7 linked regions of the Oryctolagus cuniculus genome follow. The protein of the gene in region 2 purifies or fractionates together with the protein of the main gene of each other region. This does not show direct contact. Links are inferred from orthologs where the notes say so. Each region holds a gene or a part of one and is shown on either strand. Other genes may lie near its edges.

Region 1 (3,903 bases), on a different chromosome or scaffold from region 2:
CTGCTGAGCCCACAGCGTACGGCCCTCAGGGACCCCGCTGCCCACCCGACCCACGTCTGCAGCCAGTGCCGACGGCCCCACGCTGAAGACGAAGAGGCAGAGTCTGGCCCTGGCCCGGAACAGCGGGTGCCGAGACGGGGACCGGCCCAGCCACTCGCCCCCAGCAGCTCCCGCTGTCCAGGCCCTCTGTGCCAAGGCGCTCTGCCGAGCTCGGTCACGGAGGGGGAGCCGCGGTAGCACAGGCCACGCCTCCCAGTCAGGCGGGGGGTGACGCCAAGTGCACGAGGACACAGGGACAGTGGGGGACCCGGGTCACTGCAGGACACAGGGACAGTGGGGGGCCGGGTCTCCGCAGGACACAGGGACAGTGGGGGGCCCAGGTTGCTGCAGGACACAGGGACAGTGGGGGGCCAGGTCACCACAGGAGACAGGGACAGTGGGGGGGGCCGGGTCACTGCAGGACACAGGGACAGTGGGGGGCCGGGTCACTGCAGGGGGACACTGGGACAGTGGGGGGCCGCGTCACCACAGGACACAGGGACAGTGGGGGGCCGGGTCACTGCAGGGGGACACTGGGACAGTGGGGGGCCGCGTCACCACAGGACACAGGGACAGTGTGGGGGCCGGGTCGCTGCAGGGGGACACTGGGACAGTGGGGGGCCGCGTCACCACAGGACACAGGGACAGTGTGGGGGCCGGGTCGCTGCAGGGGGACACTGGGACTGTGGGGGGCCAGGTCACCACAGGACACAGGGACAGTGTGGGGGCCAGGTCGCTGCAGGACACAGGGACAGTGGGGGGCCCGGGTCGCTGCAGGACACAGGGACAGTGGGGAGCCCGGGTCTCTGCAGGACACAGGGACAGTGGGGGGCCCGGGTCTCTGCAGGACACAGGGACAGTGGGGAGCCCGGGTCTCTGCAGGACACAGGGACAGTGTGGGGGCCAGGTCGCTGCAGGACACAGGGACAGTGGGGGGCCCGGGTCGCTGCAGGACACAGGGACAGTGGGGAGCCCGGGTCGCTGCAGGACACTGGGACAGTGGGGGGCCCGGGTCTCTGCAGGACACAGGGACAGTGGGGGCCCGGGTCTCTGCAGGACACAGGGACAGTGGGGGGCCCGGGTCTCTGCAGGACACAGGGACAGTGGAGGGGGGCCCGGGTCACTGCAGGACACAGGGACAGTGGAGGGGGGCCCGGGTCACTGCAGGACACAGGGACAGTGGAGGGGGGCCCGGGTCACTGCAGGACACAGGGACAGTGGGGGGCCCAGGTCGCTGCAGGACACTGGGACAGTGGGGGGCCGCGTCACCACAGGACACTGGGACAGTGGGGGGGCCGAGTCACTGTAGGGGGACACTGGGACCGTGGGGGGCCGGGTCGCTGCAGGACACAGGGACAGTGGGGGGGATAGGAGCCCCGAGGTGCCCGGCGTGAGAAGGCCGGGAGGCCGGCTCCCTGGTGCGGGGCCTCACCTCAGGTAGCGGCGGATGGGCTCACAAGCCACCTCCAGGATGACCATGGAGGGGTCCAGCACACGCAGCGCCTTGATGGCCGAGATGTAGAGAGTGATGATGTCACACGTGTTGACGCCTGCGGGGGTGGGGGCGCGGTCACTCAGAGTCCTGGACAGCAGCCCCCAGGTGCCGGTGCCAACACCCAAGTGGGCAGCCTACGGGTCTCCCCCGGGACCTGTCTCCCTAGGGGACCACAGGGAGCTGACCCCACCCCCACTTCCACCTTCTCACAGGCACTTTCTCCAGAGGCTTCCACGGACCAGGCAGCCTGTTCTGAGGAGCCCCCACCCCAGGCCAGACCAGCTGGGCCCTGCCTTCCTCCAGGAGCGCGCCCGGCCCAGGGGCTGCGCCGGGGCTGAGGGCACCTGGGTGGAGGAGCCGGGCCTCCAGCGCAGCTTTGAGCGACACGAGCAGCTGCTGCCTCTGGTCCGTCCTCTCCAGGCAGTACTTGAGGTCCTCGATGGCCGGCCGGGAGTCTGGGAAATCTGCGGGAAGGGGCCACCTCAGGGCCATGCACACGCACGCACACGCACACGCACACGCACACACGGGCAGGCCGGGAAGGCGCACGCGGCGAGGACACACGGGCTGCGGGCGCTCTGGGGACGGCACCCTTGACGCTCGCACGGGCGGCGTCTCAGCACAGCAACCCCGCGGGGTCACTGCCCACCAGGCCGAAGGGGCAGGGGACAGCGAGCCGGCGGGGTGTGGCCAGGACGTGGGTGGGGGCAGCACCCACCCCGCACGATGCTGAAGAGCTCCTCGATGCGCAGGCTGGCGTAGGTGCGGTAGAAGAACCTCTGCACGTGGCAGCGCCAGCGCCGCAGCGTGTTGCCGGCCTCCGGGGACGCGGGCCGGGCAGGGCCGTCCTGCAGGAACACCTTGCCCAGCCAGCCGACCACCCTCTCGATCCACTGTCGGAGAGCCCCCACGCGTGAGTGGCAGTGAGCCCCAGCCAACCCAGAGGCTGCCCACCCTGCTGGTCAGGCCTCGGCAGGCCCACCTCGCCCCTGCAGGGTGGGCCCCGCCCCCAGCACCTGTTACGCCTCACACCCTGCTGCGCATCAGGGCCCGGCAGGTCCCTGGCAGGCAGGGGCCACAGACTCAGCCGTGGTGACGACCGTGAGTGCCTGCGTATCCACAGCCCCCCATGGGCCCACTCGCCCAGACACCGCCTCAGCCCCAGCCCTCTGCTGTACGGGTGCAGCACACGGCCCCCAGTCCCCTCACCTCCCCAGTCCCCCCCATCCCCTCACCCCCCCAGTCCCCTCCCATACCCCCGTCCCCTCACCCCCCCAGTCCCCTCACCCCCAGTCCCCTGACTCCCCCAGTCCCCCCCCATCCTCCCCATCCCCTCACCCCCCCGGCCCCTCACCTCCCCAGTCCCCTCTCTCCCAGTACCCCCATCCCACCAGTCCCCTCACCCCCCTCACCCCCCCAGTCCCCTGACTCCCCCAGTCCCCCCCATCCCCTCACCCCCCCGTCCCCTCACCCCCCCGGCCCCTCACCCCCCCAGTCCTCCCCATCCCCCCCGTCCCCTCAACCCCCAGTCCCCTGACTCCCCCAGTCCCCCCCCATCCTCCCCATCCCCTCACCCCCCCGGCCCCTCACCTCCCCAGTCCCCTCTCCCCCAGTACCCCCATCCCACCAGTCCCCTCACCCCCCTCACCCCCCCAGTCCCCTGACTCCCCCAGTCCCCCCCATCCCCTCACCCCCCCGTCCCCTCACCCCCCCAGTCCTCCCCATCCCCCCCGTCCCCTCACCCCCCCGGCCCCTCACCTCCCCAGTCCCCTCTCCCCCAGTACCCCCATCCCACCAGTCCCCTCACCCCCCTCACCCCCCCAGTCCCCTGACTCCCCCAGTCCCCCCCATCCCCTCACCCCCCCGTCCCCTCACCCCCCCGTCCCCTCACCCCCCGGTCCACACTGCCGGCCGGCCTGCACCCCGCCCCTGGCCCCTCATCCCCCCCCCCCCGGTCCATGCTGCCGGCCGGCCTGCACCCCGCCCCCGGCCCCTCATCCCCCCGTCCACACTGCCGCCGGCCTGCACCCCGCCCCTGGCCCCTCACCCCCCGTCCACACTGCCGCCGGCCTGCACCCCGCCCCCGTCCCCCCCCCCCCCGTCCACACTGCCGCCGGCCTGCACCCCGCCCCTGGCCCCTCACCCCCCGTCCACACTGCCGCCGGCCTGCACCCCGCCCCCGGCCCCTCACCCCCCGTCCACACTGCCGCCGGCCTGCACCCCGCCCCTGGCGCCAGCGTGGCGGGGAGGTCACCTTGTGGAACTCGCGCAGGAAGGAGCGCTCGTACTCGCCCCTGCAGCGGTCCTCCATGCGCTCCCGCGTCACCTGGTGCAGGGTGGTGGTCACCGCCTCGGCACTGACGCGCTCC
Region 2 (3,011 bases):
GACTCAAAATTCCCTAAACATGTATCAGGTTAATTTTTAAGTAGATCATTTTGTAAGGCCCACAAATGATGTTAAAAATCCTTGGCAGAAAAAATGTTTCATGCCCCAAGCCATCAAATTTGTACTATATGAAGCAATAAAAAACATACAAGTATACATACTTTTCTCCAGTTTGCTTTTGTCATTAACACTCTCCTGTTAAACAGGGGGACTTCAAAATGCTCATGGAAACTTAAAATAAAAGATAAATTTAGGGGCAGGCTAAACGTTAAGATGTGGCGTTGGAGCCGGCGCCGTGGCTCAATAGGCTAATCCTCCACCTTGCGGCGCCGGCACACCGGGTTCTAGTCCCGGTTGGGGCGCCGGATTCTGTCCCGGTTGCCCCTCTTCCAGGCCAGCTCTCTGCTATGGCCAGGGAGTGCAGTGGAGGATGGCCCAGGTGCTTGGGCCCTGCACCCCATGGGAGACCAGGAAAAGCACCTGGATCCTGGCTCCTGCCATCGGATCAGCGCGGTGCGCCGGCTGCAGCGGCGGCCATTGGAGGGTGATCCAACGGCAAAGGAAGACCTTTCTCTCTGTCTCTCTCTCTCTCACTGTCCACTCTGCCTGTCAAAAAAAAAAAAAAAAAAAAAAAGATGTGGCGTTGGGACCCCACATTCCATATCAGAGTGCCTACGCTTGAGTCCTGGCTCTGCTGATGGCACCTTCCAAGTAATGTGCACTCTGGGAGGTAGCAGATGATGAGCAAGTCCTTGGATCCCTGCCACATACACAGAAGACCTGAATTCGGTTCCTGGCCCAGCCCTAGAGATTGTGGGCGTTTTGGGCAATGACCAGTGACTAGGACCTCTGTCTCTCTGTCATTCACTGTCTCCCTCTTTCCCTGCTTCTGAAATAAACCATGAAAAATTGTTTTAAAATTAACAAAAGGTAAGTTTATTTTGGTGCAAAAAAATTGAAATCTAGGCACAATTTTTCCATAAGACACATTCTCCATTAACTTTTTTAAAAAAGATTATATTTTACTTTGTTAGTTAAATTGGGTAGGTTGATACTTGAAGCCTAATGCTTACTCAAGGAGACCAGATGGAACTTCAGGCTACTTTATTCTGTAACTTAGTTTTCAAACCACTTTCACAACCTGATAAGGTGGTTGTTGTTTTTAAGTAGAATGGTGACAAAAGCAAGGATTGTCACCACCTTCATGTTTCACAAAAGAGGCTGTGTGTGGGGAGGGGGTTTTCAGTGTATTTTGATGGGTGCTTGCCATTTCTTAGTTTTTGTTGTAACTTAAATGTTTTTCATTTTGTTTTCACAAGAATTAATGAAGTATATTGATTAAGATAACACCAAGCTTTTGTTTTATGATTTAGAAAATTAATAAACATAATTGCTTAATCAAAATGTAAAATTTTGCTGCTCTAAAATTTTTCTTTGCCTTTTTCAGTCTGCTTTACAAGAACTTGAAGAATTGAAGCAAATTGTTCCCAAAGAATCCCTTGTTTACTTCTTAATAGGAAAGGTAAAGATTGAGGCCATGGTCCTAAACTGTGATTTTCATACCAAATATTAACTTTTGAAGAATAAACATAATACTTTAGTGTACAGTATCTATTGAGAAAATTCAGTGAGAGCTCTGAACTAAGTGCTCTGAAGATAATGGATTTAGTTCTGACATCTTAAGAAGATAATGTCCTAATGAAGGAGCAAGAATACATAACCCATAATCCTAATCCAAAATGGTATTGGAAGTAGATTAGCAATTTGCAGCCAAAGGCAAGTAATGAGGCTGTAACTGAGACTACCACATGGAAAGCACTTAGCTTCCAGTTCTCAGTAAAAACACTTAGAAATCCCCCAGAAGAAGACTGTTAATACCTCAATATTGTCTTGATTAGAAGAAATGGCTTCCAAGATTCCTATTTTATAGGCTGGGATCTCAGTGTCTAATTGATTTAACTGGTACAACTGTGGGCAGATATTGAGTTGATAGAAGTATATTTAAAGTCAGCGTGAATGTACTTTTTTTTTTTAATATATTATTTGAAAGGCAGAGAGAGAGAGAGAGATCGTCCATCTGTTGGCTCACTCTCCAAATGCCTGCACAACAGCCAGAGGTTAGGACAGGCTGAAACCAGAAGCCTGGAACTCAGTCCAGGTCTTCCGTGCGCTGGCAGGAACCCAGCTACATACACCGTCACCTGCTGCCTCCAAGAGGCTGTATTAGCAGGAAGCTGGAATCAGGAGCAGAACAGGGGCTTGAAGCCAGGCCTCATACACAGGTTCCCAGCTGCCGCCCAAGTGCCCGCCACACTGTGTGAACGACTGCTAATCGAGCAGCTTGGAGTCCATTTCTTCCCGTTGTCAGTGTTCAAGTCAGAGTGAGATTCTTGGAAACGCACACCTGAAAGGTAGTCAGGGAATTCTGAACGTGGTATCTGAGTGCGCTCAGAAGCAGCTCACAGCCAGCGTGAGTCCGTCTGTGGATTGTAAATGTCTTCCCTGTCTGAATGGGGTTAGCACATAAATCAAGAGTCCCATTGAAGCTTTAAATGTTTAGAATTTTATAGCTGAAGCTCACAACTTAATGAAAAATGTAGTATTGCTGTTTATTTTTAGGTTTACAAGAAATTAGGTCAGACACACCTCGCCCTGATGAATTTCTCTTGGGCTATGGATTTAGATCCTAAAGGAGCCAATAACCAGATTAAAGAGGCAATTGATAAACGCTATCTCCCAGATGACGAAGAGCCAATAACTCAAGAAGAACAGATCAGTGAGTATCATACATATGACTTTGAGTATTTGAAAGCTACTTTTTGCATAAAGATTTGTGGACTGCTTGTTTTTCTATCCATGGGGTTTTATTTTCTTTATACCAAGTGGAATTTTAGGTGACCAGGGTGAGGTAATAATCAGATGTCTATGGAATCAGGTAGAAGGTCTCAGTTTTGAACCTAGTTTTCTTCAGGTTGGTTCCAGCCAGTGGACTTGCAGAAATCTATTGCTGA
Region 3 (4,337 bases), on a different chromosome or scaffold from region 2:
AGGTGCAGCAGGTGTCCGCCGGCCCACCGGGCGCTCCCGCCCCGGCCCGCTGTGCTCCGGTGGGTTCCTGAGGGGGTCCAGTTTAACGGCCAGCTCCGCCTCTCCGGGCCGGACCTCCGGCTTCCTCGCCTGTCAGACGGGCTAACCCGACAGCCGGGCCCCGCCAACCTCGACCCGCTGCCCCCACGAGCGCACGGGGCCACGCGGGGCCTCAAGGCCGCCCCCTCGCCTGGCGTCTCCGGCCACGGACACCCGCGTCCGCACACGACGCCCTTCCCAGACTCCTGACCGGGAAGGGGCGTCCCGGAAGAGGCCGGGAGCCGCCTGTCCGTCACAGGTAGAGCCACGCCCCGCGCCTCCCTTCCTTCCCGGGCATCCCCAGGGCTCCCCGGCCGCACGCGCAAGCAGGCCCCGCGTCCTCGCCGAGGCCAGGCGAGGGTCAGGGGCCACACCCCAGAGGGCCGGCCGGCGAAGCACGTCTTCCACGCCACGCCGGCGAGGCTCTGAGCCTCGGGGACCTGGGCATGTCCGGCACAAAATGGCGCCTCCGAGAAAAACGAAGCGGGATTTCCCGCGCCCGCCCCCGGCCCAGGGAGAGGGGGCTCGGCGGGCACTGCACGCCTCATTTGCATATACAAAAAATCAAGACATTTCGTTGGCTGGAAGCACTTTGGCCCGCGCTCTTCTGGGTAGTCATTGGTCGCGCTCCTTTCTTGCCCGCCCCCCAGCCTCGGCACCGCCTTCTCCGTCAGGGATTGGTCCGCGCGAGCCTCGTGACTCCCCCATCGCTAGTGCGCGTCCGTTCGGCCCGAGCGCCTTCCGTCACCCGTTTAAAACCCACGAGTCCCGCCCCCTCTCGCCCCTCCCCGCGCCTCAGGGCGACCGTTAGTCGCGTGCGCGTCGTTCTCGGCGTCGGGGCACGCGCGCGTAACTCGGGCGTCCGATTCAAACGGCCCAATCAACGGCCGCAGCATCTCCCGCGCCCCCTTCCTCGCTGCTCCGCGCCCTCAACCGCCGCCCTCTCCCGGCGCGCTTCCCGGCTCCTGCGCGCCCCCGCGGGCCGGCCCGCCGCTCAGCCCCCGTCCCAGCCTCTCTCGCTTCTACCTGAGCTGCGCGGAGGGGGCGCCAGCGCGTGAGCGCGGAGGCGCGTGCGTGCTGACGTCACGAGCCGGGCGCGGCGCGGCGCGGCCTGCGGGGGGCGTGGCCTGCGGGGGGCTACAAAAGGGCGGCGGGGCGCGCACGGCGAGTTCAGTCCGGCTCGGCTCCCGCGGCGGGCGGAGCGGCGTGCGGTGTGCGCGGCGGCGGCGGCGGCGGCGGCGGCGGCGGAGGGGCGCGGAGTGGAGCTGCGGGTCCGCGCCAGGACCGCGGCGGCGGCTGTTGACCCCTTCCCCGCGCCCCGGTTGGCTTCCCCGGAGATCGCAAGAAGGGGGCCGGGGGGACCCGCCCCCGGCCGGCCGCAGTCATGGTGAGCGCGGGGGTCGGGCCGGGCAGGGCCGCCGAGGGGCTGTCCTGGAAGAGCGGGCGGGCGGGCGGGCGGGCGGCCTCCGGGGTGGGCGCAGGCCGGGGCGGGGACTCCGGGCCTCCCGCAGGCGGGGCCGGAGCCTGGTTGTGCGGCAGGTGTCCCGGCGCGGGAGGCCCGGCGGGGCCGCGGGGAGGGCTCCGGGCGCCTGGTGGTCCGCCCGCGGCTGTCAGCGGGAGCGAGGACGTCCCGCCGCCATTTCCAGGCCTCGGCCGAGATCGGTGGGGTAGGGATGGCAGGCCCCGGGCGCGGCTGGCAGGCGGCCTGGGCTGCAGGGTCGAGCGCAGGGCGGCCCCCAGCTGTGGGCGGCTCACGCTGCCTCCCGTCCGTGCCCAGAATTCCAATGTGGAGAACCTGCCTCCGCACATCGTCCGCCTGGTGTACAAGGAGGTGGCGATGCTCACGGCCGACCCGCCCGACGGCATCAAGGTCTTCCCCAACGAGGAGGACCTCACCGACCTGCAGGTCACCATCGAGGGCCCGGGTGAGTGCGGGGCCGCGCGGGGCAGCGACGGGCGGGCCCTGTTCCGGAAGTGTTGGGAGCCCGCGCGCCCGGGCTCAGGACGGGGCTGTGAGCGAGGGGACCCGCGGAGGGGGCGGGAGCCTGCCGGCCGCAGGTGCGCCAGAGGGTCCCGCACTCCATCCTGCAGCCAGCGGCCGGGGCCGCCTGGCGGGAGCCGGGGCCGGGCACACCGTCCCTGCTCGCCCCTGGGTTCCCACAAAGCCAGCGAGGTGCGAACAGGAGCTCCTGAAGGGGCACTAGCCCTGGTGGCCAGCTGGAACGGGGCTCTGTGGGACAGAGAGGAAAGTCGGTGGGGAGGCACCGGCTCTTAGGTCTGCTAGGCCTCTGGTCTGGGAGGAGAGCTGGAGTCGGTACTGTGGTTAGCCCGCACAGGGCCCCCAGACCCACAGGCCAGGCTGTGATACCCGCACAGGGCCCCCAGACCCGCAGGGCAGGCTGTGATGGCTACACAGTGCCCCCAGACCCGCAGGCCAGGCTGTGATACCTGCACAGGACCCCCAGACCCGCAGGCCGAGCTGTGATGGCCGCACAGGGCCCCCAGACCCACAGGGCAGGCTGTGATGGCCACACAGGATCCCCCAGACCCGCAGGCCAGGCTGTGATACCTGCACAGGACCCCCAGACCCGCAGGCCGAGCTGTGATGGCCGCACAGGGCCCCCAGACCCGCAGGCCGGGCTGTGATGGCCTACACAGGGTCCCCCAGACCCACAGGCCAGGCTGTGATGGTCACACAGGGTCCCCAGACCCACAGGCCAGGCTGTGATACCCACACAGGGCCCCCAGACCCGCAGGCCGGGCTGTGATACCCACACAGGGCCCCCAGACCCACAGGCCAGGCTGTGATACCTGCACAGGGTCCCCAGACCCACAGGCCAGGCTGTGATACCCGCACAGGGTCCCCCAGACCCACAGGCCAGGCTGTGATGGCCGCACAGGGCCCCCAGACCCACAGGCCAGGCTGTGATACCTGCACAGGGTCCCCAGACCCACAGGCCAGGCTGTGATACCCGCACAGGGTCCCCCAGACCCACAGGCCAGGCTGTGATGGCCACACAGGATCCCCCAGACCCGCAGGCCAGGCTGTGATACCTGCACAGGACCCCCAGACCCGCAGGCCGAGCTGTGATGGCCGCACAGGGCCCCCAGACCCGCAGGCCGGGCTGTGATGGCCTACACAGGGTCCCCCAGACCCACAGGCCAGGCTGTGATGGTCACACAGGGTCCCCAGACCCACAGGCCAGGCTGTGATACCCACACAGGGCCCCCAGACCCGCAGGCCGGGCTGTGATACCCACACAGGGCCCCCAGACCCGCAGGCCGGGCTGTGATGGCCCACACAGGGCCCCCAGACCCGCAGGCCAGGCTGTGATGGCCGCACAGGGCCCCCAGACCCACAGGCCAGGCTGTGATACCCACACAGGGCCCCCAGACCCACAGGCCAGGCTGTGATACCTGCACAGGGTCCCCAGACCCACAGGCCAGGCTGTGATACCCGCACAGGGTCCCCCAGACCCACAGGCCAGGCTGTGATGGCCGCACAGGGCCCCCAGACCCACAGGCCAGGCTGTGATACCCACACAGGGCCCCCAGACCCGCAGGCCGGGCTGTGATACCCACACAGGGCCCCCAGACCCGCAGGCCGGGCTGTGATGGCCCACACAGGGCCCCCAGACCCGCAGGCCAGGCTGTGATACCCACACAGGGCCCCCAGACCCGCAGGCCGGGCTGTGATACCCACACAGGGCCCCCAGACCCGCAGGCCGGGCTGTGATGGCCCACACAGGGCCCCCAGACCCGCAGGCCAGGCTGTGATGGCCGCACAGGACCCCCAGACCCGCAGGCCGAGCTGTGATGGCCGCACAGGGCCCCCAGACCCGCAGGCCGGGCTGTGATGGCCTACACAGGGTCCCCCAGACCCACAGGCCAGGCTGTGATGGTCACACAGGGTCCCCAGACCCACAGGCCAGGCTGTGATACCCACACAGGGCCCCCAGACCCGCAGGCCGGGCTGTGATACCCACACAGGGCCCCCAGACCCGCAGGCCGGGCTGTGATGGCCCACACAGGGCCCCCAGACCCGCAGGCCAGGCTGTGATGGCCGCACAGGGCCCCCAGACCCACAGGCCAGGCTGTGATACCCACACAGGGCCCCCAGACCCACAGGCCAGGCTGTGATACCTGCACAGGGTCCCCAGACCCACAGGCCAGGCTGTGATACCCGCACAGGGTCCCCCAGACCCACAGGCCAGGCTGTGATGGCCGCACAGGGCCCCCAGACCCACAGGCCAGGCTGT
Region 4 (3,903 bases), on a different chromosome or scaffold from region 2:
AATTTTATAACAGAAATACATAAATACATATTTGGTCAATAAACACTCATGGGGTTCTAGAAATGAATGTGTTTGATGACAATGAGGTCTAAAAATCATGGTATAGGTATAAACAGGATTGGGAGGCTGAAAAACTTGAGAAATGTACTGATTGCTCTTTGCAGCTTCACAGAAGCCACAACATATGACAGACACTGTGATTTCTCTAACAAGGCTTAAGAAAAATATTACCTAGGTGGCCAGCATTGTAGCACAAAGAATTAATAAGCTGCTGCTTCTGATACCAGCATTCCATATCAGAGCACTGGATCCAGCTCCAGCTGCTCCACTTCTGATCCAGCTCCCTACTAATGCACCTGGGAAAGCAGCAGCAGATGGCCCAAGTACTTGGGCCCCCACCACTCACGTGGGTGACCCACATGGCATTCTGGTCTCCCAGGTTTGGCTGGGGCCAGTCCTAGCCATTTGGGAATAAACGAGCAGATAGAAGATTTGTCCCTCCCTCTTTCTATTGTTCTTTCAAATACATACCTACATACATATATACATACTTTTTAAAAATGGGGCAGAAGGAATTTAATCCTTTGTTAAGGATGGTGCTTAGCTAACAGATTCCTACATTAAATATATTCCAATTGAGACCTGACAGTAATCTTCCAAATGTACCACATATGACAAACCATTCTGAACTGTGCTGTATGCACAACACTATAAACCAAATAAATCTCTATTTGTCAAAAAACATGTGAAGTATCTAAATGTAGAAACATCCTTCATAACTAACTAATTTTGATGACTGAACCAACACTTTGGATTATCTGCTTCTTTAAGTGTTGAACTCACAGAACTACTTAAAACAGTTAAGAGCAATGTAGACAAAGAATGGAAATGCTTACTTTAGCAGCTTTCAAAATGGAGTTAGGAGAATTCAGACCAACAAGTTGGCCCAGAATATTTTTCATTTCATCAGATGTTCCCTTAGCAATTTGGTTACCTACAAAATAAATACAGCCAATAATTCACTAGAGCCAAGAAGAAAAACATAGTCCATTATAAAAACATATTCCGTTTAACAGCACAAAAACTGATTCTTATCATTTATCACTGATCATAGCCTTTTATCACAGGATAAATGAAAAATGTATGCCGGCTGGTAAAAAAAAGGCAGTTTTAGTTACTTTAATAAGGCAGGCTAAAAGGTAGTCAATTCAGATTATCTGTATTTACAAATAGGCTGTCTAGGAATTTAGTAATTTTTAAGGCAGTAGTACCTGGATGAGCTTGAATTTGAACATATGGATGTGCCAGGAGCTCAGGAATCGATATCCTCAGTTTAGGGTCCCTTATTAAGCAACGCTATGAAAATAAACATTAAGTTTTTAAAAAAGAAAAGTTAAGTTTTCCTATGTGCCTTTGATAAAAATATTTTTTCCAGGTTATATATCATAGAAGTTTCTTTCTAGATAAGAGAGTATATTAGAGTTCATGAAAGTTTATGTAGGTGCAAAAAATTTTTTGAAATCCAAAGTATTTTCTTAATATACATTTGTATGAAATTTTTAAAGACCCTTCATATAGCACGAAATAATGACAAGGCTACCACTCAAGCCACTTGGGAAACCCAAGTATTCATACCTTCAAGGTAAACTAAACACATTCTAAAAAGCTAATTCAGTCAATAAAACCACTTAATAGAATAATTATATTTAAGCCAGTTATATACTTCTACTCATTCCATTTATTTTAAACAATTAATTATATTAAGTATTATAATATATCATATATATTATATGTATATATATATATGTTACCTTTAACACATCTTGAAGATCTTTCTCTGGAATATCAGGAAATTCAATTTCATGATTGGGATCAATTATGGCATGTAATTTGGAAATCTGATTAATTATATGCTGAAATGGTGTTTTGCCATAAGTCATATAGTACAAGATGCATCCTAAGGACCAAACATCACTTTTTGGGCTTATCTAAGTAGGAAAAAAAATAACAAATTGCATTATTTTAATATATAATAGAATCTAAGAACATTCCTAATATAAAAATGTGCATGTGTGTGTGTTTTCAAAGCCCTTTCATTGTAAATTCCTTAATATTTAATAATATAAGTATCTCTCACTGAATGTGCAAGCACTAGATTATATTTACATGACAAACCATCTTTTTCTAGTTTTCATTACATTTGGTTATTTCATCCAGAGATGATTTTCACTTTAAATCTTCCAACAAATTCATAATTAAAATATTTCAACTGAGACAAAATATTTTTGTTCACTTCTGAAAATAAGTGGAAAAATAAAAAAACTATAAACTCTAATATACTTAAAATTATAAACATAATTATATAAACAAATATACATACTAAAAGTAAATAACTATAAACTCTAATTTTTCCCAGAATGACTGATTATAATAAACTGTATATTAATTCAAGTATTAAGATTTACCATTAAGTATTAAATCATTCAGTTGACAACTAAAAAAAAAACCTCTTATGTGCAATTCAAAATAAATCACTTTTTTTAAAAGAAATCTTCCCACTTTTTAAAAAATTTTTAACTTTCTTTTTAAAGATTTATGTATTTGAAAGTCAGAGTTACAGAAGAGAGGGGGAGAGACAGAGAGGGATCTTCCATCCACTGCTTCACTCCTGAAATGGCTGCAACAGCTAGGGCTGGACCAGGCTGAAGCCAGGAACTTCATACAGGTCTCCCATGTGGGTGAGGGGCCAAACCACTGTGCCACCTGCTTCTGCTTTTGCAGGTGCATTAATTGGAAGCGGAGCAGCTGTGACCAGCACCCATATGCGATGCCAGCATCACAGGCAGTGGCTTATCCTGTTACACCACAACTCTGGCCCCTCAAAAAATAAATCAAAGTAAAATGGAAACCTGAAAGCTTAAATTACAAATTTTAGACATGAGTAAAATTAAGAAATTACAGTAAAATCTGTAAAAATAGCATCTAGGGTAAAAACTCAGAGTACAAGTTATAATTTTCATTTTTTAATTTTTAATCTACTCGAAAGGCAGAGTCACAGGAGACAGACTTATCTTCCATGCACTGGTTGACTTCCCAAATGCCTGCAATAGCCAGGGCTGTGCCAGGCTGGAGCCAGAAGCCTAGAAGTCCATTTGGGGTCTCCCACATATGCTGCCTCCCAGGATGCATCAGCAGGAAGCTGGATTGGAAGCAGAGGAGCCAAGACACAAACCTAGGAACACTGACATAGGATGTGGGCATTCCAAGTTGTGGCTTAACCTTGTTGTGTCACAATGCCTGCCTTGTTTTGTTTTCATATCTATTTATTTGAAAGGTAGAATGAGAAAGAGAAAGAGTGAGCAAGCTTCCAACTACTGGTTAACTTTCCAAATGCCCACAACAGCCAGGGCTGGGTCAGTCCAAACCCAAAAACCTAGAACTCCATCTGGGTGTCCCATATAGGAGATAGGAACCAAAATATGTGGCCTATCTCATCTGCTGTTTCCCATGGTCAGCAGCATGAATCTGGGTCAGAAATGAAAAGGGGACTAGATGCCAAGCACTCTAATACGGGATGTGGGAATCCCAAATGGTGGCTTAACCTGCTATGCCACAAAGCCATCTAAAATTCATAGTATTAATGTTTTTTAATTGCAGGCAAGGATACTAAAGTTAAATTAGTTATTATTTAAATTAAGAAGCTGGGGGTGGGGGGTGTCAGCGCAGTGGGTTAAAGACCTGGTCTGCAGTGCTGGCATCCCATGTGAGCATAGGTTCGAATACCGGCTGCTCCACTTCCAATCCAGCTCACTGCTAATGTACCTGGGAAAGCAGTAGAAGATGGCCCAAGTCCTTGGGCCCCTGCACCCATGTGGGAGACCGGGAAGAAGCTCCTGGCTCCTG
Region 5 (3,903 bases), on a different chromosome or scaffold from region 2:
TGCCGAGGCTCATGGTGTTGAACTGGACAGACTCGTGATGTCTTCCGCTCGTCTGGATCCTGTAGGCCGAGGGTGGGGTGAGGGTGTTTCCTGCTGTCCTGAGGTCACAGGATCGCCCACTCCTCACGGCCCCGGTGTGCATCTCATGTTCTGAGCGGCTCAGCGCCTTCGGTGCCTCCCAGCCCAGCGGAGTCACAGCTCCCACAGCTCATTTTAAGTACTGGCCGTGATTCACACACAGTGGATCCCACACCTACCCCTGTGTCCTATAGGGTGAACCCCCATCCTTATCGAGCTATTTTCACCCTCTGGTCAACTCCTATGCGGGCAGGATGTAAGCAACCCCGGCTGAGGGCCTGCAGCCGCTCCCACGCGGAGGCTCCCGCAGGTGTGATTCCCTCTGTGTTTTACCCTCCTAACCACGAGTCAGTCTAGTCTGGCGTCAGAGGGCAGTGTGGAGTCCAGGAAAGCTGCAATAAATAGTATAAAAACACCCAACTGGCAGGGAACGTGCCTTTTAGGCCACCCTTTCTATAAAGCACGAGGTGTGCCAGTGTTAAAACGCCAGGATTTTCACTTGAAAATATAGAGAGACGTAGAGTTTTGAAAATACACCAGAGCAAAACTCTGAAATGCAGTTTTTAAACGTGCTCAAATTTTAAAAATAAATGTCAAACACTAACCACGGGGTCTGATCATGTGAATTCAACCTAAGAGGAAGTCCTACGATTCATTGCCTCAGGTCAATGAACCCAGTCAATAAATCATCACCATAATAGAATTTTATTTCCATGGATATGCATCAATTCAAGGAAATCCACCTTGAATGTACTTGGGACTCTGTACATTAGGAGGGTTAGCAAAGCCACCTCGGGTGCCACCGGCACACGTCTTCATTGGTAGCACCAGCTCCGGGTTAGGGAGTCGGTTCTCATACCTGGATTGCTCCCCAGAGACAGGAGCCTGCGGTCCTTCAGCCAGCTGTAGTTCTTCACCAGGCTTTCTGCTCGAGCCAGTTTGTCCTCTGCTAGCCTCTCACGGACACAGAGCTCACGTTCCTTCTCTATAAAAGGGGCATGGAAAAAAAAAAAAAACACGACAATTCACATTTGGTTGTTTTACTGCTCTTTCTAATCACTACCTCTAGGTGCCTGGGCCCTGAGTAGCAATGCTTTGAGAGCGATTTCTTAGCAGAGTCCCTGCTCAACCCGAGTATGCTAGAGCCTCTGTTCTGATTCGTTGTAGGTCAGCTTGGGTTTTCTTGCAAGGACTTGTTTAAGCCCAACGACGTTAGCTCCAACCCTGGGTCAGGCTGTGTGGGAGCTGACTGAGAGGGTAAACACAAAAACCATGTCTGCTTGTGACTGAAAACAAGCGACAGTTCCTGGCCGGGGCGGCGACAGGACGGTGGGGACAGTGGGGACGGACTCTCCCTCTGCTGGCTGGTGCACGGCACCGAGTGGAAGGGAAGGCAGCAGCAAGCAGCTCTAAACAGAAACGATGGCAACTCCACTCCCGGCCCAAAATTCAGTGTTCGCGCTTCAGCTGCCGCGGGAGGTTACCGGACACGGGGGCCAATTTTCAGATGATGCCTGTGTTTTTATTTTCATTTTTTGCAGAATTCTTTGGTTGGAGGAGTCAACAAAGTCTCTCGGTGAGCAAAGGTTGGATTTAGCCCAGCTCCCGTTCCTCGACGGCACTTTGCCGTTAGCGTCAGGGAGGAAAATGTTAACAAACGCACCGTGTGCGTTACGAGAGCATTTAAGCATTAAAGAGCTTAGAGCCTGCATGGTGCCTAAAGCTGCAGCGGCAGAGTCAGTGAGCCAGGGGGCAGCAGGAGGCGGCCACAGCCCCAGCCCTCGTCTCCTGTGTTCACGGGAAGACTTCCACTGCTGCCGCTGCCTCGCATGGCCCTAAAATCGCACTGGCAGCTCTGGGTGGCGCAGACAGACTTGCAGCATCACAGACTAACTGGCACCGTATCAGTCAGCACTCATGGAGCCAGCGCCAACACCCAGCAGGTATTATTTATTAACCTAGGCGATCTCACACCCATATGCCCAACTGCCTCAGGGTAGCTCACTCCTAGGCACTCCCAGGACTTCAGACCCGGAACTGTGTTGGCGTAGACCCTGCACAAGGTAGAAGTCATGGTTTTTATTATGGAAGGCAGCAACTTTGAAAACCTTTTTACTTATGATCTTTTATTGGAAATGCAGAGACAAGAGACAGAGTGCTCATTTGCTGGTTCACTCTCCCAGTGGCCACCAACAGCCAGGGCTGGGCCAGGCCAAAGCCAGGAGCCAGAAGCTCCATCTGGGTCTCTCACGTGGGTGGCTGGGATGCAACGTGAGCTCTTACCTGCTGCCTCCCAAAGTGTGCATTACTGGGAAGCTGGACTGCAGAGCGCAGCCGGGACTCGACCCAGACACTCGACACGGGAGGCGGGAGTCCCGAGAGGCAGTTTAACTGCTGTGTCAAAGGCTTGCCCCAAGGTCTTCTTTCACCATGGAAGAACTTCACAGGGACGGCGCTGTGGCACAGCAGGTTAAGCTGCTGCCTGCGACTACGGCACTCCGTACTGGAGCCCAGTTCAAGTCCTGGCTGCTCTGCTTCTGATCCAACTTCCTGCTAATGCACCCGAAAGGCAGCCCGTGATGGCCCAAGTACACGGGCCCCGGCCACCTAGGTGGGAGATCAGGATGGAGTTCCCGGCTCCTCACTTTGGCCTGGCCCAGTCCTAGCTGTTGCAGCCGTTTGGGCATGAGTTAACCAGCAAGTGCAAGATCCCTCTTTCCCTGTCACTCTGCCTTACAAATAGATTTTTAAAATCTTAAAAAACAAACAAACAAAAACAAAACAAAACAAAAAACTTTAGGGTATTTATCTTAAAGATAAGAAAAAAATCAACTCTACAGTAAAACAAAATGTGTCTGGCAGCCGATTTGAGAGAAAGCTATCTAAGGCGAAAGCGCCTGCGAGTCTGATGATCTAGTCTGGAACACACAGGAAGGTTCTAGAGAAGCCCCACGCATGTTCCGTTCACGGAAATATCCACGCATATCCAGCGTCCTCGTGCGGGCTCCCCGCCCCGGACCCCCGCCGCCTTCCCGACTTAGACTTACGCTCCAGTCGGTCCTCTCTGGCCTGGAGGGCCCGCTCTCGCTCCTGCAACTGTAGCTCTTTCAGCCTCAGCTCGCTGAGCCCGGGGCCGGCGCTGAGCCCCGGGCTGGACTCCTGCGACTTTTCCGGCTCTCCTGGTCGCCGCCCTCTTCTCTCAAGAGCTCGTCCTTGCTCTTCGGCAACCAAGTCCGCTATCAAAGCGTCCTGCAGGATCTCTTCCACAGAGGGCCGCTGGTAGTCCTGGGGGCACAGTACTGAGGCTGCAGTCAGAGGGCCCGGCGAGACAGCTACCCCAAGGGAGCCTGACACGACAAGGGCACGCGCCGCCGAAGCAGAAGAAAGCGCTCCTCTCTGGACAGCTCTTAGCTCAAAGACAAGCTCACTGCCGGTTTTCACCCATGAGCTTCCGGGTCCATGGGGTCACGCAGCTGCAACCCATCCCTTCCCCCTTCGAAGTACCACGGCACACCTCGTGCTGGTGCTTGGTAGCCCTGGGGCAAGCACTGTCCTGGCATCTCCGGGCGAAAGGGCACAGGACGCCCGTTCACCAGCCTCCTCCCCCCCCCACTCCGCCTGTGTCCTCTGCGACCCTGGGGCACTTTCCCTCCCCCTCACCTCAGCCTCCTTCCTCCATCCCACGTTCAAAGTTTCTCCACGAAATCCGCTTATCCCTGTGGCTTCCCCTCTTCTGCTGTCTCCTCCTGCCCTTCCTCTTCTGCGCTCTCCCCTCTCATCCCGAGCTGGAGGCAGCACAGGAAAGTCCCGTCCCTGGCCCTTCCC
Region 6 (3,903 bases), on a different chromosome or scaffold from region 2:
AAGCGTACCCCATCTACCTGCAGGCTTTTTGCCACATTAGAGAAAAAAAAAGAGTCAACCCTATTTGTTTACATAATCAGGCCTATGTAGCCAGCCAATAACTCAACTCCTAACTAATACAGTAAGTTCTTCCATTCGGCCCTCGGTGCCTTCTTCCAGAATGCATTTATTATACTTGGTATTCAGTAAGGCGTGCAAACTACTCAGTATCTCCCCGGCTAGACGCTGAGCTGTAGAACAGAACCTGTGTGTGCTTTGTCTGTGAGGATGCCTCCAGCGCACGCCACAGTGTGCAGCTGCAAGCAGGAAACATTTGCCCAGCGAGTAAATGAACCCCTGTAAGATCCGCAACAAGGACACGCGAGGCAAGGACATGGTTTTGAGGGGCGCTGTCTGCATCTTCGCGGTCCTCCACCAAGGGGCCTCGGGGCCAGAGATGGGAAAAAAGATGCCCGAGCACAACGGCCAGGCCGGAGCGTTGGCCTCCAGGTTCTAAGTCGGCATCGCCCGGGCTGGGGAGCGCACGCAGGACCTCCCCAGAGCAGTGGGGAAGCTCGGCTCCCAAACAGAGGGCAGCAGCACCGCTGGGAGATTACCGTGGTGGGGTTGAAGACGGGAGGGTTGTCGTTGATGTCAGTGACCGTGATCACCGCTTCCGCCGTGGTGCTCAAGCCCTCGCCTTGGAGGTCAGCAGCCTGAACGACCAGGGTGTACTCGGGGTACGTCTGCGGAGACCAAGCACACTCGGGTTAGGACGGGGGCAGCGGCCGCCGCTCTGGGACAAGTGGCCTCGCACTGCCACGGGATTTAGCCAACCACACAGCCGCTTCCATGTCCCCTGGGTCCTCCTGACCTCTCGGTCCAGCCCGGTGGTGACCACACTGATGACTCCGGTCTGCGGGTTGATCCTGAACATGTTCTTGTGCGGCAGCTCGGGCTCCTGGCTGAGGATTTCGTAGGCGATGGCAGCATTGTAGGTGTTCACGTCATCGTCCGCGTCCGTAGCCGTGACCTGCATCACGGACGTTCCTGTTTGCCCCGGGGAAGAAGACGCAATCAGGCTGGGAACCTGACGGCCGCCCTGGGGCCGACTTCGTGCCCACAGGACAGAGGGCAGCTTCGATGCGGTCACGTCCCAGCTCCTGGGCCCTGAGTGCTGAACTTTTACTTTATCCGTTGAGTTAGAGACGGACGGAGCGAGCTCCTTCCCACCAGTTAACTCCCCGGATGCCTGCGACAGCCAGGCTCCCCCACCAGCAGCTGATGCCAATTCTCTGACGTTCTCACTAAAGCGCAAGGGGAGGAAGAAAGCATCCAGCCAAACGAGGACCCAACTTTTCCAACACACATTTCGGGCAGCACGCAGAGGTGAATCTGAGGACTAAATATCTCTACAACACTTTGTGATGTGGCTTTACTGAGTGAATGGCATCAAAGATAAGAAAAATCCAGGCACTGGCATTGTAGTGTGATGCCTTAAGCTGTTATCTGCAATGCTGGCATTATGTACAAGCACCAGTTTGAGCCCCGGCTGTTCTAATTCTGATCCAGCTCCCTGCTAATGTGCCAGGGAAGGCGGCGGAAGATGACCTGAGTGCTTGGTTCCTGCACCCAGGTGGGAGATTTGGATGGAGTTTCCAGGCTCCTGGCTTAAGCCTGGTCTAGCCATGGCCATTGCAACCATCTGGGCAGTGGGCCAGAAGATGAACAATCAATCAATCTCTCCTGTTTTCCTCTGCCAAGAAAGACAGACAGACAGACAGAAAGAACATTCCAGAACTTTCCTCACTTGGCTTGTTGTTGCAGCTTTATTGGAGTGCATGGTAATTTGAGATCATTGCCTTCAAGGTGGAAGAAAATACTCATTAACACGTGTGACTGACAAGAGACTAGTGTCTAGTCTAGTATCTAGAACATCTAAATAATGCTTAAAAATCAACAGGGTAGGGTTTGGGCCCAGCAACTGTGGCGTAGAGGGTTAAAGCCCCAGCCTGCAGTGCCAGCATCCCATATGGGAGCCAGTTCAAGTCCTAGCTTCTCCACTTCTGATCCAGGTCCTTGCTAATGCGCCTGGAAAACAGTGGAAGATGGCTCAGGTCCTTGGGCCCCTGCACCCACATGGGAGACCTGGAAGAAGCTCCTGGCTTCAGGTTGGTCCAGCTCTTGACGTTGTGGCCATTTGGGGAGTGAACCAGCAGATACAAGACCTCTCTCTCTTTCTCTCCACCTCTCTAACTCTGCCTTTCAAATAAATAAAATCTTTAAAAAAAAAAAAATCAACAAGGGGGCAGGCAATTGGCCCAGTGGCTAAGGCACTGAGTAGGCACTGGAGTTGCCTAGCTTCAAGTCCTGGCTCTGCTCCCGACTCCACCTCCTGCTACTGCACCTTGGGAGGCAGCAGGTGATAGCCCAAGTACTTGGGTCCCTGCAACCCATATGGGAGACCTGGAGTTCCTGGCCCCTGGTTTCAGCCTGGCCAGCTCCAGATGTTGTGGGTATTTGGGGAGTAAATCAGCAGATGGGAGTGCTCTTTCTCTATCCCTCAATAAGTAAAATTTTTTTAAACAACTACACAGTTAGGAAAAGGATCACTAGGGAACACAACCAGCCCAACAGAAACACACACACACACACACACACACAGTCCTGAAAAAGAAACACAAGTGGCTAGCAAAGTTGTGTAGCTCACTGGTAATCACTGAGATGCCCTTTTAAACTGCACTAAGACATAATCACACGACAGGTAGGCAAACGCCAAAATGTCCAGTAAGCCCAGGATCTATATTACTGGTGGGAATGTAAACCGGTTCAGCCACCTGGGAGACACTCTGTCATCGCTTAACATGGCTCAGCATGTTGTGTGAGCAGCACATGTGGCTATGGCAAAGCAGGTAAGGCTCCACCTGCGATGCTGGCATCCCATATGGGTCCTGGTTTGAGTCCCAGCTGTTCCACTTCCGATCCAGTGCCCTGCTAATGGGCTGGGAAAAGCTGCAGAAGATGGCCCAAGCGCTTGGGCCCCTGCCACCCACATGGAGACCTGGATGAAGCTCCTGGCTCCTGCCTGGCTAAGCCCTGATGGTTGTGGCTGTCTGGGGAGTGGACCAGCAGACGGAAAACTGATGGCTAACTCTGACTTTCAAATAATAAACCTTAGAAGAACAAAGAGCAATACACAAGCACTGCTGTGTTAGGCAGGGGGGGAGGTGGCTGTCACTGCTCCATCAGTCGCACATTCCTGAGGCTAGGTTGTGTTGCATGTGCACACACACACACACACACACACACACACACACTGGCTCCCAAACAAGTTCTGTCCACAGCAAGGGTCCGCGTCAGGGGCCTGACCCCGGCTCCAGGCAACCAGCCGCTCGTCCTGGACAGACCTGGTAGCGCGCCTTCCATGACCGAGCCCTTGAAGACCTCCTGGGTGAACTCAGGCCTGTTGTCGTTCTGGTCCGTCACCGTGATCACGATCTCCATCGGGTCCTCAATGGCGTTCCCGTTAGACGACACGGCGTGAGAGAAGAGCTGCAGGAGCCAGTGGAAGGTTACTCGGGCCCCGGCGAGGATGAAGAGGCAGAGGATGGGCCTGGCCAGGGCAGTGTGGGATCCTCCGGCCTCTGCGACTTCTACTCTGAGACCTGGGCTGCTGCTTCAGTGAGATCCTGACCCCCTTCTGCTTCCCACCCCGAGGACCAGGGCATCAGGCCCAGAAGGGATAAAGCCATCCAGTCTGGAGTTGCCCCAGACCCCTCTGCACGTGCACCAACACGTTCCCTCCAGCCGCCCCAAACCCACACTGCCTGCTACCAAGTCCAGGAACTGGTTCTTCCCCCAGTGTCACCACTGCTCCTTTAAGCCAAGAGCAGGTTGATATCCTGGGTCTAAACTCACGCATGG
Region 7 (4,686 bases), on a different chromosome or scaffold from region 2:
GTTTGAAAGTTGCACTCTTACCTCTAGGTCCTTTCGAATGCTCTCAAACTCTTCAATGTCATCAAGCTTGAGCTCCAAGCGCGTGGGTTTCCGTCGCAGCATACTGAAATCTACACTGAGAGCAGATCCAATCAACTATGAGCTATTAAAAATGACACAGAGAAAAACTGGAGGTGATACGTTGCAGTTACATACATAAGGCCAATTTCTACACATGTACACTAAAGTGAAGGCAATAGCAAAATCAAACTTGGATTCACACATAGATCTCTTTCTTTTTTTGAAAGGCAGAGTGACAAAGAGATGGAGAGGCACAGAGAGACAGAGATCTCTCATCCACCATAGTTCACTACTCCCATGGCCACAGTGTCTCTGGATGAGCCGGGCCAAAGCCAGGAGTCAGGAGTTCCATTGTTGTTTCCCAAGTGGGTGGCAGGGGTTCACACACACCGGCCATTATCTGGTGCTTTCCCAGGCACATTAGAAGGGAGCTGGACTGGAAGCAGAGCAGCCAAGACTCTGATATGGGATGCCATATTGCAAGATGTGGTTTACCTTCCGTGCCACAATGCCAGCCCCACACATAGATTTCTTAAGGCTTTAGGTGTATGCTTCTTACATTTGTATTTCATGATGGAGATCCACAACGCGGTGATTCAAAAACCTCTTTCTGAAAAAACTGAACACCAGCAAGCTGCCTATAAGAAAATTCTAGGCAAAACTGAACTCACCAATTCACAAGATTCTCTTCAGTGTCTCAATCAACCAGACAGATCATTCATTAGCAAAGACTTCTTGTGCTCCGGCTACAAAATTAAAAGGTACAGACACAACCTGTGGGAGAAACAGACACGTGAGGGGAAAATTAACAGCGAGGGGAGCAAGAACACTGATGAGAATACAATGGCAGCCATGCTGGCCCGAAAGCTGGACTAGGTGTGGGGTGGTGGCCAGGGATGTTAAACACGGCCTATGGCAGGAAATGATGTCTAAATGGAGTCTTAGTCGACATCTAAAGAGCAGGCAGAGAGAACAAGTGCACAAAGAAGCTCAAGAGAACAGTCTGAGTCAAGACAATACTTTTAACAAAAACCCTTTCTTTGAGCAAACAGAACTCCCCATCACGTTTAGTATCTGTTGAGGGGCACCTTCATGGCACCCAACAGAGTCTGTGTATGTACATTAGGCAGTCAGTAAACGTTCCCTGAATATAGGAAACAACTAAAGTAAAATGAACTTGAGTGAGCACTGGGCTAATTTTTCCATCACCATTCTTCACTTGCTTATTTTAATACGAAAACCCTGTGAGGCTGGCAAGATCGTCCTATTTTACAGAGAAAGAAGTCAAAGCAAGCTGTCCAGTCTGGCCTCCTGTAGGAGTCACACATAGGACCGTGGGGTGAGGATTAAATGAGACTGATGTAAATGAACGCCACTGGCTGTACCCAGGATGAAACCGGGGACTGAGAAGTGCATAAAAGAAGAAACATTTCCTCCTCCTCCCATGAAGCCTGAGACAGACACGCAGTGGTAACACAAAACATTACTTTTTTTTTTTTTTTTTTTTTTTTTTGCGGCTCACTAGGCTAATCCTCCACCTTGCGGCACCGGCACACCGGGTTCTAGTCCCGGTCGGGGCGCCGGATTCTGTCCCGGTTGCCCCTCTTCCAGGACAAAACATTACATTTCAATTTGCTTTGACTTAAATCTGATACTGTCCACCAGATTCCAATGCCGACAAGCAGCAGAGGAAAACGAAGTTCCAAATGGGGTGAGGAAGGGATACTGAGAAGATCGCTATGCATTTTAACTTTTCTGCGAAAACGAAAAGCCCACCACCACCACTAGGAAGCAGGGTAGAGACCCGGCTGAAGTGCTGGCTCCGATCCCTTTAAGTTTCCGATCTTTGTCTCGCACCAGACCTTCCTTGCCTCTATACTCTGTTGCTGTCTGAATTGAATGGCGTAATGCCGATTAAGCTCCTGGCTACACAACTGTGGTATTCAGTAAACGCTCAATAAATAACAGGCACTTATGACTGCAGTTGTTGGGGGCGGGGGGCGGAAGAGATAACGATGGGGGAGGGGGGTGTTCCAGCTCTGCAAACACGAACATTTTGAGTCTCCCACCCACTACATGCCTTGTTCATCGCTGATGCCCCCGCACCCAGAGGAGCACAGGGCTATGCAGGAGAGTCGGCTGCGGTCTACCCGACGCCTTCCTAGCCATCATCTCACTCAGTCTGACACAAAGACCCGGCTGAAGACGAAACAAAAGCAACAGCAAAACCGGGCCGAAGCTTCGCCCGCTCTTTACTTCACTTAGACGCTAGAGGGCTCTTTGAGCTTCATCTCTCACCGCTGCCCAAATCCACCGCAAACTGAGCCAGCTCGGCCGGAGCCCCCGGCCCCGGGAGGACTTTCCTCCCCACCCCCACCCCGACAACCCTCCTCGCCCAGCCCCAGGACCACACTCAGCGGTCCGGGCGATGGTTTCCATGGCAACATGGGCCTCCGCCCCGGGACGACGTAAAGTCTCTAGGAGCCCTCGGTAAGCTCCAGAGTTCAGCGCCCGGCCGCGCGACTTGACTCACCTTCCTCTCTCTCCAAGCCCGCTCAGCCCCTTCCCGGAAGGAACCTCAGCTCCCACCACGAATCTACTGCGAGCCCAACTGGACTACACTTCCCAGAGTGCTTCGCGCCCCTCTCCCCTCCAGAACCTCGTCTCCCGCGAGCTTTTCTCGGAGGTTCTAAGGGTCATGCCCCTCCACGCGACCAGAATAGTAACTACTACGACTCCCATGATGCTCCGCGCCGCTCAGGGCGCTGCGTCGGCGCCCGACTTCACTTCCGGTCCGTGACGTAGTTCCGCTTTGCTGGGCGCGCGGTGGATGGTCTGAAACGGAGAGCTTGGCTTTTTCTGGGGCTTGGCTGCTGCGGAGCCCAGCATGGCTTCGTCACGAGCGTCCTCCACGGTACGGAGCTCGGGATCTCAGTTCACTGCGGCAGGGAGCGCCGAGAGGGTGGGGGTCCCTCGGGGAAGGGTCCGTTAGGGAGCGGGCTGACAGGGTGGAGGGCTGCCGGACTCGGTCCTGCCCTCCAGAGCAGAGCAGCATTCCCCGGACCCTTGAGCGAGTGTATGTGCTGTTACTCGTATGCACCTGTCCCACCGCAGCCCCGAACGGCAAACACCACTTCCGACTGGTCCAAACCAGGGCTCCGGAGTGGGCGAGTGTCTTGGCCACGGTGGCTGTCTATAGGAGACCTCGGAATTGGGATGAGGCCTCCCGGCTCCTGCTCTGCTACCACAGGTCTCAAAACGCTTGAGATGGACCGAGCAGGAGCGTTGTCACTGGCTACCCCTCCCTCGGCACCACGCCGGTTCTTTTACCTTACCCTTGGTGTTTCCCCCCGTGTTAAACGGTAACCCTGGAAGTATCACGAAACCCAAAAAGAGCTTGCACTTCCAACAGAATGAAGTGATCGTCTTCCAGAGGCAGAACCACCCGGAGAACCGGGTTTAATCCACCTCTTCAAGCTGTCAAACTGGAAGTGATTGAAGGGCTGACGTGCCCTCCCGCCCCCATCCCCACACCCGCGGGTCCGTGAAGCGCATCTTCCCTGGCGCCCAGTTTGGCCTTTTGTTGGGGGAGGTCAGGATGAACTTCACCCTTTAGGGAAGCCTCGTGGATTGCTAAGATCGAGCCTTGAATTAATCGAAGCCTTCGGTCTAGCAGGCCACCAAAACGAAAGCGCCTGATGACCTGGTGGCTCCGGTGGTGAAGAAGCCACACATTTATTATGGAAGTCTGGAAGAGAAGGAAAGGGAGCGGCTGGCCAAAGGAGAATCTGGGATTTTGGGAAAAGAAGGACTTAAAGCAGGAATTGAAGCAGGAAATATTAATATAACCTCCGGTAAGATGACAGATTTCAGTCCATCTTTACCTTTACCTCCAGTTTTCTGTAATGCGTGCCTTCCTCAGCTTAGATAGCTGTAGTTTTATGTTACAAGTTTTCAATTTTTAAACTTGAATCTATAGACTCATATTTTGCTTACACTACCTAGCATCATCCAGGAGCCTTTTTTTTTTTTTTACAGAATTTTTTTTTTTTTTTTTTTTTGGACAGCCAGAGTGGACAGTGAGAGAGAGAGACAGAGAGAAAGGTCTTCCTTTGCCGTTGGTTCACCCTCCAATGGCCGCTGCGGCCAGCGCACCACGCTGATCTGAAGGCAGGAGCCAGGTGCTTCTCCTGGTCTCCCATGGGGTGCAGGGCCCAAGCACTTGGGCCATCCTCCACTGCACTCCCTGGCCACAGCAGAGAGCTGGCCTGGAAGAGGGGCAACCGGGACAGAATCCGGCGCCCCAACCAGGACTAGAAGCCGGTGTGCCGGTGCCGCAAGGCGGAGGATTAGCCTAGTGAGCCGCGGCACCGGCCCTACAGCTTTTAATATACTGTTTTTCCCATGAATTATTAGTTCTTTTACCAGAAATTTTTTCAGTGCACATTTGGGATTTAAGTGGTTACATTTGTCTCTTGGAGAGCTAACATCATTCCAGCTTTGGTTTGAAACTAGAATAGTTTATAATGCTCTCCTGTTTTTAGTTCTCCAGTTATTTTTTACCCCCAAAATTATTTAAATATAAAAGTAGCAGTTTGTTATTTTGAAAGATGAAATGATGTGAGC

Evidence for each region.
Region 1: the proteins of CDC27 (region 2) and ANAPC2 purify together in Homo sapiens (affinity purification with western blotting; 20 studies listed by BioGRID and IntAct, with this or other methods). This does not show direct contact. The link is inferred for Oryctolagus cuniculus from reciprocal best matches to the Homo sapiens genes CDC27 and ANAPC2.
Region 3: the proteins of CDC27 (region 2) and UBE2S purify together in Homo sapiens (affinity purification with western blotting; 4 studies listed by BioGRID, with this or other methods). This does not show direct contact. The link is inferred for Oryctolagus cuniculus from reciprocal best matches to the Homo sapiens genes CDC27 and UBE2S.
Region 4: the proteins of CDC27 (region 2) and TTK purify together in Homo sapiens (affinity purification with western blotting; 3 studies listed by BioGRID). This does not show direct contact. The link is inferred for Oryctolagus cuniculus from reciprocal best matches to the Homo sapiens genes CDC27 and TTK.
Region 5: the proteins of CDC27 (region 2) and NEK2 purify together in Homo sapiens (affinity purification with mass spectrometry; 6 studies listed by BioGRID and IntAct, with this or other methods). This does not show direct contact. The link is inferred for Oryctolagus cuniculus from reciprocal best matches to the Homo sapiens genes CDC27 and NEK2.
Region 6: the proteins of CDC27 (region 2) and CDH1 purify together in Homo sapiens (affinity purification with western blotting; 4 studies listed by BioGRID and IntAct, with this or other methods). This does not show direct contact. The link is inferred for Oryctolagus cuniculus from reciprocal best matches to the Homo sapiens genes CDC27 and CDH1.
Region 7: the proteins of CDC27 (region 2) and CDC26 purify together in Homo sapiens (affinity purification with mass spectrometry; 12 studies listed by BioGRID and IntAct, with this or other methods). This does not show direct contact. The link is inferred for Oryctolagus cuniculus from reciprocal best matches to the Homo sapiens genes CDC27 and CDC26.

The regions. Positions count from the first base shown.
Region 1 is NC_091432.1:237,477,142-237,481,044, forward strand, and holds part of ANAPC2 (anaphase-promoting complex subunit 2), read right to left. Parts: coding exon 3,789-3,903; intron 2,428-3,788; coding exon 2,253-2,427; intron 1,999-2,252; coding exon 1,879-1,998; intron 1,590-1,878; coding exon 1,472-1,589; intron 1-1,471. UniProt on the Homo sapiens protein: Together with the RING-H2 protein ANAPC11, constitutes the catalytic component of the anaphase promoting complex/cyclosome (APC/C), a cell cycle-regulated E3 ubiquitin ligase that controls progression through mitosis and the G1 phase of the cell cycle.
Region 2 is NC_091448.1:17,013,848-17,016,858, forward strand, and holds part of CDC27 (cell division cycle protein 27 homolog), read left to right. Parts: intron 1-1,447; coding exon 1,448-1,522; intron 1,523-2,600; exon of another isoform or gene 2,601-2,619; coding exon 2,620-2,776; intron 2,777-3,011. UniProt on the Homo sapiens protein: Component of the anaphase promoting complex/cyclosome (APC/C), a cell cycle-regulated E3 ubiquitin ligase that controls progression through mitosis and the G1 phase of the cell cycle.
Region 3 is NC_091449.1:3,531,101-3,535,437, forward strand, and holds the start of UBE2S (ubiquitin-conjugating enzyme E2 S), read left to right. Parts: upstream 1-1,264; 5' UTR 1,265-1,462; coding exon 1,463-1,465; intron 1,466-1,855; coding exon 1,856-2,003; intron 2,004-4,337. UniProt on the Homo sapiens protein: Accepts ubiquitin from the E1 complex and catalyzes its covalent attachment to other proteins. Catalyzes 'Lys-11'-linked polyubiquitination.
Region 4 is NC_091436.1:92,424,562-92,428,464, forward strand, and holds part of TTK (dual specificity protein kinase TTK), read right to left. Parts: intron 1,989-3,903; coding exon 1,812-1,988; intron 1,357-1,811; coding exon 1,272-1,356; intron 995-1,271; coding exon 897-994; intron 1-896.
Region 5 is NC_091444.1:26,244,429-26,248,331, forward strand, and holds part of NEK2 (serine/threonine-protein kinase Nek2), read right to left. Parts: intron 3,364-3,903; coding exon 3,126-3,363; intron 1,064-3,125; coding exon 938-1,063; intron 1-937. UniProt on the Homo sapiens protein: Protein kinase which is involved in the control of centrosome separation and bipolar spindle formation in mitotic cells and chromatin condensation in meiotic cells.
Region 6 is NC_091449.1:51,968,817-51,972,719, reverse strand, and holds part of CDH1 (cadherin-1), read right to left. Parts: intron 3,532-3,903; coding exon 3,387-3,531; intron 1,030-3,386; coding exon 854-1,029; intron 726-853; coding exon 597-725; intron 1-596.
Region 7 is NC_091432.1:216,878,100-216,882,785, forward strand, and holds the start of CDC26 (anaphase-promoting complex subunit CDC26), read right to left. Parts: upstream 2,828-4,686; 5' UTR 2,594-2,827; exon of another isoform or gene 2,141-2,593; intron 835-2,140; 5' UTR 732-834; intron 143-731; 5' UTR 103-142; coding exon 22-102; intron 1-21. UniProt on the Homo sapiens protein: Component of the anaphase promoting complex/cyclosome (APC/C), a cell cycle-regulated E3 ubiquitin ligase that controls progression through mitosis and the G1 phase of the cell cycle.